Linked DNA regions of Caenorhabditis elegans. The protein of the gene in region 3 interacts with the protein of the main gene of each other region in a pairwise test. Each region holds a gene or a part of one and is shown on either strand. Other genes may lie near its edges.

Region 1 (4,472 bases), on a different chromosome or scaffold from region 3:
AACAATATCCAAATTCTCCCAGCAGATGAGAGTTTCAATAGCTCCCATTTCAAGTGCGGCAAGAGTGTCTTTAACTCCGAAAACGTATTTTCCAGTGTCTTGGCTGATTTCATCGAAATATCCACCAATCAGTTTCTTTTCCTGAATGAACTTAACACTTGCCAGCGTATCGGCAGCAAGTTCAATAGCTTGGTTGAAACCATTTTCACCACCATAAGCAATATCGACAGTCTTGATCATCTTGGCTTGAAGTCTTTGATCAAACATATCAGATTGTCCCAACTCTGTCTTGAAATCTGCACTACCAGCAAGAATAAGTCCAGCAACTGTAACCTTGTCGTTCTTGATAAATTGTTCCACCGAATTTTCAGCTACTTTACGGACGTAATTGTGCCGCTTCTCATTACGGAGACGAGCAAAACGGACAGCAGATTGACCTCCTCTACCGTGCTTCTTTGGAAGATCGACAGTGAACTTGTGCAGAACTTCACGAGTGTTTCCTTGGAGTGTTCCGAACAGACAACCGTTTCCATCCATAATGATAAATCCGAACTTGTTATCGTCAGCAAGAAGACCTGAAAAATGGTATATTTTATGATGCATGATGAAAATTAGAAATACCTTGAAGAGCTTCGGTGTGAAATTTGTTGTCGCAGAGATACAATGAAGTATTGATTGCTTTGAATGGCTCAAAATCAATGTTAACTTTCTTTTCCTTTCCTTCGTCGGTCATGATTGTTCCACAGTAAACGACCAATCCATTTGGTGGGACTTTGTTGTAGAGTTTCAATCTTCCCTGTACTGATGTGATAGCTCCCAAAACGGAAAGTCTGTTGACACGAGACTTGATGTTAGATGCCGTTCCGTACTCTTCGGCCAACATTCTCTGGATTCTAGCCACTTGATCTTTTGGTGGAATGATCAGCGAAATCATAGAAGTTCCATTTCTGTAAAAAAACAAATGTAAAATAAACGCTTCACGAAAATAGTTACCCTCTGGCTAATTCCAAACTTTTGATGAGCCGTTTAATTTTCCACATTTCGACATTTCTATCGGCGGCGTCATCGCCTCCGGCGGTAGCACCTGCTGCGGGAGCGCTCATATTCTATTTGTGCTGCACGTCACCGATTACCTGTAATTGTATTATATAAAACACGAAAAGAGAGTTAAAGTAATTAATTCGGGGAAGAAACTCAAAAATGCGAAAAAAAAGATATTTATAGAGAACTGGTTATTCTACATTGCACAGAGTTGTGATGGAAAATTAGAATATTGTGCAACATGTTGCAATGGTTTCAATTTGATTTTTTTAGAAGAAAATGTATTTCGTTTTCTCTGAGCAATGACAAAATGATGAATAAAACATTTCTGAACAATTTAAACTGCAAAAATCGATAATTGATGACGCGTAAAAACTTTAAAAACTGAAAATGGGAAAAGAATTTAAATGGTGCCAAGGAACACGAATACGGTTTGTGGAAGGGTCTCGGCGCGAAGTAATGTCCGATTGTCCACACTTTCTCCGCGGCCTAGTCTCCGAAACAAGTCAGCCACGTCCTCAATGTTCGAAATTCGAAAACATTTTTCAGCTTTCATCAGAACTCCAGGACTGTTTCCAGAATTTATTAGTTTTTTTCGCCAAAATATTATATATGTACCACGGCAGTTCATTATATTGGTTGTATTACACGTTTCTTTTCGTTATTAACTCTTTTTTTCCCGTTACCGCCTAATAGATGAAAACGAATTTCAATAATTCTTTCAGATCACCACAATGGATGATAATACGGCTCCAAAAAAGAATTCTGAAAAGAAGGCACGCGTCTTTGACCTCCAAGCAATGTTCGCGCAAACGATAAGCAATGCTCCCAGAACTGAGGAACCAACTCACGTTCCGCAGTCGGTATCGGTGTCTTCTAAATCAGAATCTGGTGTTTCTTCTTCAGCTGTATCTGATGATGAAGATGGTAAGCCGAATATAATGTTTTAATTATTTCAAATTTGTTTTTTCCAGATTTCATGCCAGATCTACCTCCAGGATTCCAAATGCAACAGTCTGAAGCGGGCCCCTCCTCGTCTCGAGCTGAAGGTCCCGAAGATAGTGATGATAGCGATTTTGACGAGACAGAAGCAATCTCCATCATCAAACTGATTCCAGCTGCATGTGAAGCGAAGATCAGCCATGGCACTCAAGCCATCAGTGCACTTCGGGTTGAGCCTCCTGGTGTTCGGTTTGCCAGTGGAGGGCTTGACTATTACGTGAAGCTGTTCGATTTTCAAAAAATGGACATGTCAATGAGATACGACAAAGAGCTTCTGCCTGCAGAAAGTCACGTTATCAATTCCCTGGCATTCTCTCCGAACGGCGAAACTCTTGTAGTAGCTAGTGGAGAAGCTATCATTCGCCTACTGGATCGAGCAGGAAAACAATGGTCTGAAACAGTTCGTGGAGATCAGTATATTATTGATTTAAACATCACTAAAGGACACACAGCAACAGTTAACTGTGTCGAATTCAATCCACTAAACAAGAACGAGTTTATCTCTTGTTCTGATGATGGAAGTCTACGACTATGGAACCTCGATGATCATAAAGTAATCACCAAATGCATCAACAAGCACAGGAAAGTCATCAAAACAAAAGGAGCTAATGGAAAACGTGTCAGCCCGCAAGTTTGCACGTTTTCTCCTGACGGAAAATGGATTGCCGCCGGTTGTGATGACGGATCTGTTCAAGCATGGAAGTATGGATCGCAATATGTAAGTTGAAGTTCAAAAACACTGTTTATTCTCATATTTTAATTTTAGGTCAATGTAAATTACCTTGTACGCAAAGCTCACAACGGCTCGATTACTTCTATTGCTTTTTCGCCCGATTCAAAGAGATTACTGTCTAGAGGTTTTGATGACACTCTGAAGATGTGGAGCTTAGATAACCCAAAAGAGCCGCTTCTTGTGAAAACCGGTCTCGAAAACGCTTTCAAAAGGTATCCTTCTATTAAAAACTTCACCATAAGTATATTTTTTGTAGTACTGATTGCGGATTCTCCCCTCGTGCCGAGGTTGTCTTCACTGGTACATCGTCACCCAACAAGGATACACCTGGAACATTACAATTCTTTGATCCAATGACATTTGATCTTGTCTATAAAATTGATTACCCTGGAATTTCGTGCCACCGAATTCAGTGGCACCCGCGATTGAATCAAATTATCGCTGGACTCTCGGATGGCACCATTCACGTGTACTACGATCAAACGATGTCACAGCGAGGAGTTATGTCATGTGTGACGAAGCCACTCAAAAGAAATCGCGCATCTGAAGTTGTTCGAGAAGATATGGTTCTTTCTCGTAAGTTAAACAATTTTTTTCGAAAAATATTTATCTTCATATTTCAGCTCTTTCCCTCGAAATGTTCCAACCGCGCGGAGAGGAAGGAGAAGAAAAGGAAGTCACTGGATGGAGAATCAAGAAGTATCTCCGAATGCAGGATAACAAGCTTCGTCCCGAGTTCCGGAAGCCTGCAGATATGCCTATCAACGGAAAGAGCGCAAATGGACGTGTGGCTGCAAGTGGTGGAAGTCTTCATTCGTATTTGGCAAAGCAAATCGGAACTGCTCGTAATGCCGAGTTCCTAAAAGATACCGATGTTCGTGCAAGCATCCTGAAACATGCTAAAGACGCCGAAGAGAATCCATTGTACATTGATAAAGCGTATCGAAAGACACAGCCAAAGAAGATTTTCCAAGAAACTGCAGTCGAGCCAGAAGATCAAGATGACGAAGAGCTACAGCCTGTCTTCAAAATGCCGAGAACGAAGTAGTCGTTGCATTAATTTTTTGTTTTTCATCTGTCTGTCTCCCTCTTGTAATATTGTTTTCCTATTTTTTTCTCTATTTTTTGTGTCCCAATAAATATAGAGTCAATGATCACATGATGTTGGAGAAATTGTGTGTTCGCCATAGTCATTGTCTTGTCCAAATATCTAACGCTAGCTACACTCTAGCATGCTGCTCACTTCTATCTTTCCCATTCTTCCAACTCCCCCCCATTTCAACAATATGTGGTCGTTTGTGTCAGTGTCCGGTGGACGATGGCTACACTTTTGCCGCAAGAATTGTATCCAATCGGGATCAGGTTCACTTTTAAAATTGAACCCGGTTCGGATGTTTCGCTTTTGATCTCCTAATCCAAAAACCTGAAACTGTATTTTTAAAAACGTTTCTATTATGGATTTAATTCCAAAAATTGAGAAAACTATATTTAAAGAAGAAATTATTGACATGGCCTCCATTCCATTTCTTTCTTATCATACATTTTCCCACAACTGATACCATGTGCAGCCTATTCAAAGGGTCACTTTTTGCTGAAGTGTGTAGAACAAACATGCAATCCGAAATTACAGTTCCACAACTGTTTACTCTACAATTTCCTTTTCACATTTTCTTCCTGTTTCAGTGCCGAGAAATTG
Region 2 (4,893 bases), on a different chromosome or scaffold from region 3:
AGAAGACCCATTTACATGCATGTCATCTGTTATTTCATAATAATCTGGCATGCATCTTTGAAATTAGAAAATTTTCATATTTTAACAAGATATTGACGAGCCTTCTCGTATTTTTTCCGATGGGTCTCGCCGCACAAAAAGTGTATGGTAAATAGGTTTAAACCTAGGTTTTTTTTCAATTTTTTGCTGCTACGCTTTTCTTGTATTTTCAAGAAAAAATCACTTAGTTTTTAGCGAAGTTTGTCGTTTTCTACTCATTTTCCTGTTTAAAATTGTTTTAGATCAGTTTTTTCCATAGTACAATTAACATTTATGATCAAAAATGCATGTTTTACACGAAGAAGGATATTAAAAAAATTTAACAGAAAAATGCAAAGTTAATAAGAAAATTAGCAAAAAACGAAGTAATGTTTTTAAAAAAGGAATGAAGCAGCCGAAAAAGTTAAAGAAAAGTACCATAAACTTTTTGCGCCTCGATGCCCATCTGAATAACTCCGTGTGCCTTTAAGAAGGTATATTAAAATTTAGTGATATCACATATATACAGAACTGAATTTAATAGTCAAAAAAGGTATTATAGATGAAAAACTCGCGGACAAAAAATTTACAAAACAAGTTATTTTTTAATGAAAAACATATTTTATAAGTTTATCTCGACAATAACAAACAAAAAACAAAACAAAACAATGAAACTATTACTAAAAAACATTGCAAATGTTACATGAGTTGACAAATAACACATTGTGCAGAGTCGTAGCGAAAGACGATCAGCGAATTCTGCGAAAACTAAACTTCAGAATAAAATAAAGTATATGGAAAAACCTACTAGAAAAGATCGTGTGATGGTCCTGGAGAGTCTTTATCTACATTCTCATTGTCGACTTCTGGAGTATTTTTCAGCGAGTTTTTACATTTTTTATATCTCCGCGGTTTCCCAATATTTCCGATGATGGAAGAATGTGCTGTAATTACACATTGAATATCAATATTTCATATCTGTCTAATACCTCCGAAGCACTTTTGGAAAAGATCGAAAATCGCCACTTCATCAAATTCGATATTGAACACTCTGAAATAATCGTGTTTTATATAATTTATTGAACAATTGACGGCTTACTTCTGAATATTAAACCCATCACACCTCACTTCTGGATGCATTTTTTGATAGTGATACTTCATTTGGGGATGTGTACTGCAAGAGTATTCACATGTGCGACAAACGAGACACTTTTCATTTTCATGAGTCATTGCATGATCCAGAAGTCGTTGTTTGCCGTATCGAAGTTTCCACGAGAGAATTTGCTTACAACCCTGAAAATAGCTTCTTTTTTTTAAATGTTGTCATATTTCCTGAACATCCTCCCTAAGAAATGGCTCAGATCGGAACTTACTTCGAAATTACATTTAATAATATGATTTTTATTCATTTGCTCGTTTCGCTTGTTAAGACGTTGGACAACTGGAACAGCAAACGAAACTTTTTTCGTCGAAGGAATCGGGCTCTCATCCTCTTCATCATCTTCACTGTTTTCCTCATTCTGCTGTTCTGCCTCATCAATTTCTGTTCCAACTTCTTCATAATTTCCGATCAGCACAGTATCCTCATCATCGAAATCATATTGAAACTCTCCCATGGTATTATGCTGCAAAATATTCAATTAAAAACGAAAATCTCATCATGTTGCGACAATTTACAAATTAGAAATAAAGGAAATCTCTTCAATCCTACCTCAGTTGACAGTTCTATGACTGGATGATGATCAACGATATGATTCCCAATCGAAACTGTTCTTTCTGAATCCGTAGCTTTCAAAACCGGCTTCACGTCCTCAGAAATAGAACTCCTGGGCTCAGTGCAAAGACTTTTTGCTGACAAAAACGATTCATTATCTCCATATTCATTAATTGGTTGTTCATATGAGAATCCATCTTTATCCAGTGGAATTGGTTCGGAGTGTGGCACCATGGTTTCATTTGAGCTTTCAATCGATCTAAAAAACAATGAAATTCTCAAGTATATATTTAATTTTACTGGTTTTTGGCATTATTGGAAGTTTGGTCTGTCTTCAATTGAAAATAGAGTAAGTATATCAACGTTGCTTAATTCGCTATACGAACGGTCAGAATTCTCGTCAGAAAAATTCTTACGTGAGCCGTCTTCTTTTCGTTAACTTTGAAACTGTAGGCTCTATTTTGACAGTTTCTTTGAGACTACTCAGAGTACTCAAACGTCTCGAGCTTCTTCTCTTTCCTTCCTGATATGGAACAATGGAACTAGCTGCTTCAGGAAGTGCTCGATAAAATGACGATTCGACCTCCTGACAGTTGGGGATCAAAGTGGTACAGTCATTGGAGGAATCTTCGAATAATTCATAACCTTGATAATTCGAATCAATTTCGGAAATTCTTTCTGTCATGTTCATTGTAAACTTTCGATCCAAACCATTTTGTGGTTTGATGGGAGTTGAAAAGCGGGGAACACCAATGTTTGCGAGAGTTGTGCTCAAAAGAATCGGAGCTTGATCAACATCGGCAACAGTTTGTACCATTTCTTCGAGCAAATCCTGAATCACGTCTTCCCTGGAAGTTTCGGATTGATAAGAGTTCTCCAGGCATTTATCAGTTTTATCGTCATCCGATAGAATCTCCGATAGCTTCTCAGCCAAATTCAATGTGAAATTTTTTGCAGAATTATATTTTGAATGGCCGACAGCAGGAGTTGAAAATCGAGGAAGCTTGTTAGTGGCCAAAGTTGTACTTAGTGGAACAACTGGTTCGATTGTACTTTCAGAATATGTAGAGCTTTCATTAGTTAAGCTCGTGTACATTGAGCCCTCCACAATCCAAAGCTTGGAGCAACCGATATTGTTCTGAAATAATAACTACTATTCAAATTCAAATAGCAAAAGATAAAATTTCCTTATCAAACCAACCAAAAGAGATTCCAACACAACTCCCTGTTGCTGAAGACCTTCTATAGTTTTCCCATAAATGTTCACTTGAATAAAACTGTTCCAGTCATCGCAGGTCATCTGAAAAATATACCATGAAAACATCAAGAATTAAAAAAATGTCCAAAAACATGTTCTCAGGCGTATCGACAACCGTTATTTACATAAATTCATCGCAATGAATAGTGAAGAAATTGAAAGTTTGTTATCATGATGATAAATATCAGGCTTAAAACAGTCTTTATTCATCTACTGGTTAAAATACAAAAAGAACAGGAACTAAAACGCGGAAACGAAACAAAATACTTCCGACAAATCTAGAAATGAAGAAAGACCTGATCGTTGTGAGACCTTTGACAAAAGTATAATGTGCCTTGAAAGTATACGGTAGGAAGAAATATAATACTGTATTTACTTACAATTAGTTTTTAAATTTTGTTGCATACAGCATTTCTTTTTTTGAAATAATTTTTAACATTTACATTTATAAAAACTACATTTTTGACTCTAAATAATTGTGAAAATATCATGTTTGATTCGTCAAAAGAACGATTAATCCAAAAAAAAAAAACACAATTAACTGAAAAAACACTGTATTTTATTTCTGTAAAACTACAAAATAATTAGAACATGATAATAATTGTACATGAGGGTGTCGTCGTGATGCTCATTAAATTCTGTTAAAACTGGATTTGAAATTAGTGATATGAGCAGTTATGGAGCTTACAAAAACATCTTCACATCTTCCGCTTGTACTCTAGAAGAGATTTTGGTTTTCTATAAGCGAATACTTTTGAGTTTTCGACGAGGAGTTCGTTCAGCTTTTCTAACGGGTCCGATCGTTTTCAGTTGATCTGGAATTTGAATAGCATGTAATCTCTAAATAATTAGAATAATGTACCTCCAAAACATTTATTCCATACATCTGAGAATTTGGTATTTTGAAGAGGAATGCTACAAGAGGGGTTTATCAGTTTTCAAACGGTTAGTTTTAAAAAATCTCACTTGAGAATTCCGAAGCCTTCCATTTTCAGATTTGCATGAATCTTTTTGTAGTGATAACGCATTTGTCGAGTTGTCTGGCATGAATATTCACATTTCTGGCAGTCAATGGATTTTTCCTCTTGATGTGATAGTGCATGATCGACCAGTCTAAGTTTTCCATAACGAATCTTCCAGTGAATTTTTCGATTACAGTTCTGAAAAGATTATTGATTGAAACACATTATATCTATGCGACTTTTTATTGAAATTCAGTTTTTTCTCTGACAACGCGGCAAAACAACTCACATCAAAATGGCATTTAATGTTATGAACTTTATTCATTTCTTCTTTTTGTTTGTTGGGACTTTGAACAAGTGGAAATGCAAATGAAACTCGATTTTTCGAAGGAATCGGGCTCTTTTCCTTTTCATCATCTTCACTGATAACCTCATACTGATCTTGATCATCTACTTCAACGATTTCGGCTCCCACCTCTTCATAGTTTTCAATCAACATAGTATCCTCGACGTCAACGAAATTATTTTGAAACACTCCTTCGATGTTATGCTGCAATTTCATTAATGAAAACGGATAACTCAACAAGTTGTGATTATTTCAAATTCGATTTTTAAACATTACATCTCTTGACAGTTCTATGACTGGAGGTTGATCACTGATAATGCTTCCAGTCAAAACTGTTCTTCCAGAATTCAAAACTTTCAGAACTGGCTTCAAGTCGACAGCATTACAAAAACTGGGCTCATCACAATGACTTTTTGCTGATGAAAATGATTCATTATCTCCATATTCATTAATTGGATGTTCGTACGAAAAACCATCTGATTGAATAGCTGATGTAGAAACAGGAAATGTATGTTCAATATTAGGACGCACAGTTTGACTTAAAATTTGAATCGGCCTGAAAATAACGAAATTCTTAAGTAAATAACTATCGGTG
Region 3 (3,167 bases):
AATTTCTGTGGATTGTTACTCTTTTTTCACTGTTTTTTGTTGCAATACTCTCAATAAATTCAACTTTTCCAGCTAAAACCATGCTGCTCTCCGTCAAAACGTCGACTGGAAAAACCATCACAGTGGAGGCGCCGAAAAATGTGAAAACTGAAGTTCGCGACAAACAGGGAGTCGTTTTCACAGTCTCTTACGGTATTTATCGATTTTTTTTTTGGTTTTTATTTCAATATATGTTTATTTTTTCAGGAGAAGTAACCGGAGATCCAATCACTGTTGAAGCATCGGACGCCATCAAGGATCTTAATTTCAAGGTTGCCGAGGCTCAGCGAAAACCGCATCGTGAAGGAATGCGAATTTACGTTAAAACTTGTGAAAAAACGATCACTCTTGACACTGCTGCCTCCGATACCATTGCAAGTGTTAAGGCTAAAATCTAGGAAAAACGAGGTTTTCCATCAAATCTGCAGAAACTATATTTGGGTTAGTACTTTGAAACTGATAGCTTGTCTAATTTCTTTAGTTTTTACAGAACCTTCCAACATTGTTTTGTGCAAGGATCAACGTACTATTTCTGACTACAACATCAAAAACGGCAGTACTCTCCGTTTGGAAGTTCCTGTAAAAGAAAAACTGACGGTTTCTGTGAAAACCTTATTCGGAAAGACGATTCCTATTTCAATCAAGAATACGGATACTGTTGAGACATTGAAGTTCAAGGTTCAGAATAAACACGGTGTTCCACCAGATCAGCAGCGTCTCATTTTCGGTCGGGCACAGCTCGAGAATGACCGTGCTCTGTTCGCCTATAACATTCGTGATGAGGATATTATCCATTTAGTCTCCAGACATCGGTTGTGAAGTTCTCAATTTGATTGCTCTTAATCTGTTGTTTTGTTACTTTTTTGTTTTTTATTGTTGATAAATGTTGAAGGTTTTTTTTTTAATTTTTAAATTAAAAACACTGTCTCAAAATATTACAGGTACCATATTTATGATATATGAGGGTTTTTTTCCAGTAAATTCTTCTGTGTTCTGAATTTCCGACTTAAACATTTTATTTCGATGGTTCAGAAAATTGGTTTTTCAGGTTTTTGGATACTTCAGGCTGATATTTTGAAATACTCGAATTTAATTCAATTTAGCATTATTCAACCCGCTAGAATTTCTGTTGGCACATGTTTCTTCAATTAGAATTTCTATTATTTAAAAAACCACAAAGAATTTAATAAAAAATCAGCGAAACTACGGTAGACGAGGAAGTAGGCAGTTGCACACGATACACATTAAATAATTGACTTTTCCGTTTTTCTTGATTCAGTACTCGAAATGTTTTCATCGAAAACTTAGAAAAAAGTTTTTTAATATAAATGAAATTTCAATAAAATTTGCGCGTCAATTAAAGTGTTCTTTGTGCATTGTGAACTTTTTTTGCTTACCGTAGTTTTGCAATATTTGTTTTTCGATTTATTGACTTTTTCAACGCAATTCTTCTTTATAGCTTGCTTTTTGCCCGTAATTCATCAAAATCTTGATAATAATATTTATTAATTCATTCTATTCATATTTTTAAGAAAAATCATTTCGAAATTATCCAAAAACCAGATTTCTCCCTTGTTTGCTTCTTTTTTCACCGTTGTCCTCGTTTTTCTGTTGCAAAACTCTCAATAATATTTAATTTATAAATTTTTCCAGCTAAAATCATGCTGCTCTCCATCAAAACGTCGACTGGAAAAAACATCACAGTGGAAGCGCCGAAAAGTGTGAAAACTGAAGTTCGCGACAAACAGGGAGTCGTTTTCACTGTCTCTTACGGTATTTATTGTTTTTTTCTGGGTTTTGCATTAAAAAAATCATTTTCAGACAAAGGTACCGGAAATCAAATCATTGAAATGGAGGACACTGTCCAAGATGTCAAAATTCAAGAGGCTCAGCAAGCACCGCTTCGTGAATCAGAAGAAGTGACCGAAGATCCCATCAGTGTCGAATCATCGGAGGTCATCGGAAATCTGAATGTCAAGGTTGCCGAGACTCAGCAAGAACTGCATCATGAAGGAATCCGAATTTACGTTGAGAACGCTGGAAGAACATGCACACTTGACACTTCCGCCTCCGATACCATGGCAAGTGTCAAGGCTAAAATTTGGGAAAAACTAAGAATCCTCCCAAATACGCAAAAACTATTATTGGGTTTGTACTTTAAATATTGAAAGATATGTCTAATTTCTTTAATTTTTACAGAAAACTGGGACCTAGATTTGTTTAGCGATCATAGCACTCTTTTTGACAACAGTTTCGAAAACGGCAGTACTCTTCGTTTGGAAGTTTCTATAGAAAAAGAAATTGACGTTTTTGTGAAAACCTATACCGGAAAGACAATCACCATTTCAATCTAGAATACGGATACTGTTGAGACCTTGAAGCTCAAGATTCAGGATAAGGAAGGTATTCCACCAGATCAACAGCGTCTTATTTATCAAGGATCGCAGCTCGAGGATGACCGTACTTTGATTGCCTATAACATCTATAATGAGGCTACTCTCCGTTTAATTCTCAGACTTCGTGGATGAAGTTCTCAATTTGAATATTGTTAATTTGTTACTTGTTATTTTGTTACTGTTCTGTTTATTTTTGTTGATGAATGTTGAAAAAGTTTAGATTTTTTTGAAATTAAAAATATGGTTTTTAAACAGCCGGTATATTTCTTTGTGTTCTGAATTTCCAACGTAAAGAATCTTTTTCAGTGATTCAGAAAGTGTGCTTTTCAGGTTTTTCGTTAATTTCTGTATTTCTCTATCATAGAATACATTTCAACTCACAAGAATTTTCGTTAAAAACCACAAAAAAATTAATAAAAAATCGGCAAAACTATGGTAGACGAGAAAGTACGCTGTTGCGCACAATGCATGTTAATTGACGCGCAAACAGTTTTTTGTAATATTTTTTTCCTGTTTTGCTTGATTCAGTACTTGAAATGTTTCTTTTCAAATATTATAATAGTTTTTTTTAAAATTTTCTGCAAAAAATGCTGAAATTCTAATAAAACCAAAAAAAAACTCAAAAAACGGCATGCGCGTCAATTCATGCGCATTGTGTTCATTGTGAACTTTTACGCTTACCGTAGTTTGTCGAGATTTGTTTTTCGATTTATTGATTTTTTCGAAACTCTT

What was found.
Region 1: the proteins of F52C6.3 (region 3) and gad-1 interact in a two-hybrid assay, tested with the Caenorhabditis elegans proteins (2 studies listed by BioGRID).
Region 2: the proteins of F52C6.3 (region 3) and zim-3 interact in a two-hybrid assay, tested with the Caenorhabditis elegans proteins (2 studies listed by BioGRID).

The regions. Positions count from the first base shown.
Region 1 is NC_003283.11:6,430,791-6,435,262, reverse strand, and holds gad-1 (Gastrulation defective protein 1), read left to right. Parts: upstream 1-1,766; 5' UTR 1,767-1,775; coding exon 1,776-1,968; intron 1,969-2,015; coding exon 2,016-2,761; intron 2,762-2,809; coding exon 2,810-2,988; intron 2,989-3,032; coding exon 3,033-3,352; intron 3,353-3,399; coding exon 3,400-3,824; 3' UTR 3,825-3,943; downstream 3,944-4,472. Other genes in the region: erfa-1 (Eukaryotic peptide chain release factor subunit 1), read right to left, coding at 1-575, 622-947, 994-1,103.
Region 2 is NC_003282.8:10,556,860-10,561,752, reverse strand, and holds zim-3 (C2H2-type domain-containing protein), read right to left. Parts: upstream 3,039-4,893; 5' UTR 3,033-3,038; coding exon 2,934-3,032; intron 2,871-2,933; coding exon 2,149-2,870; intron 1,992-2,148; coding exon 1,730-1,991; intron 1,644-1,729; coding exon 1,392-1,643; intron 1,312-1,391; coding exon 1,118-1,311; intron 1,070-1,117; coding exon 1,008-1,069; intron 963-1,007; coding exon 827-962; intron 787-826; coding exon 768-786; 3' UTR 543-767; downstream 1-542. Other genes in the region: zim-2 (C2H2-type domain-containing protein), read right to left, coding at 3,729-3,805, 3,853-3,905, 3,957-4,150, 4,242-4,502, 4,575-4,854.
Region 3 is NC_003280.10:1,923,067-1,926,233, forward strand, and holds F52C6.3 (Ubiquitin-like domain-containing protein), read left to right. Parts: upstream 1-1,692; 5' UTR 1,693-1,700; coding exon 1,701-1,812; intron 1,813-1,860; coding exon 1,861-2,187; intron 2,188-2,238; coding exon 2,239-2,393; 3' UTR 2,394-2,654; downstream 2,655-3,167. Other genes in the region: F52C6.4 (Ubiquitin-like domain-containing protein), read left to right, coding at 81-192, 247-437.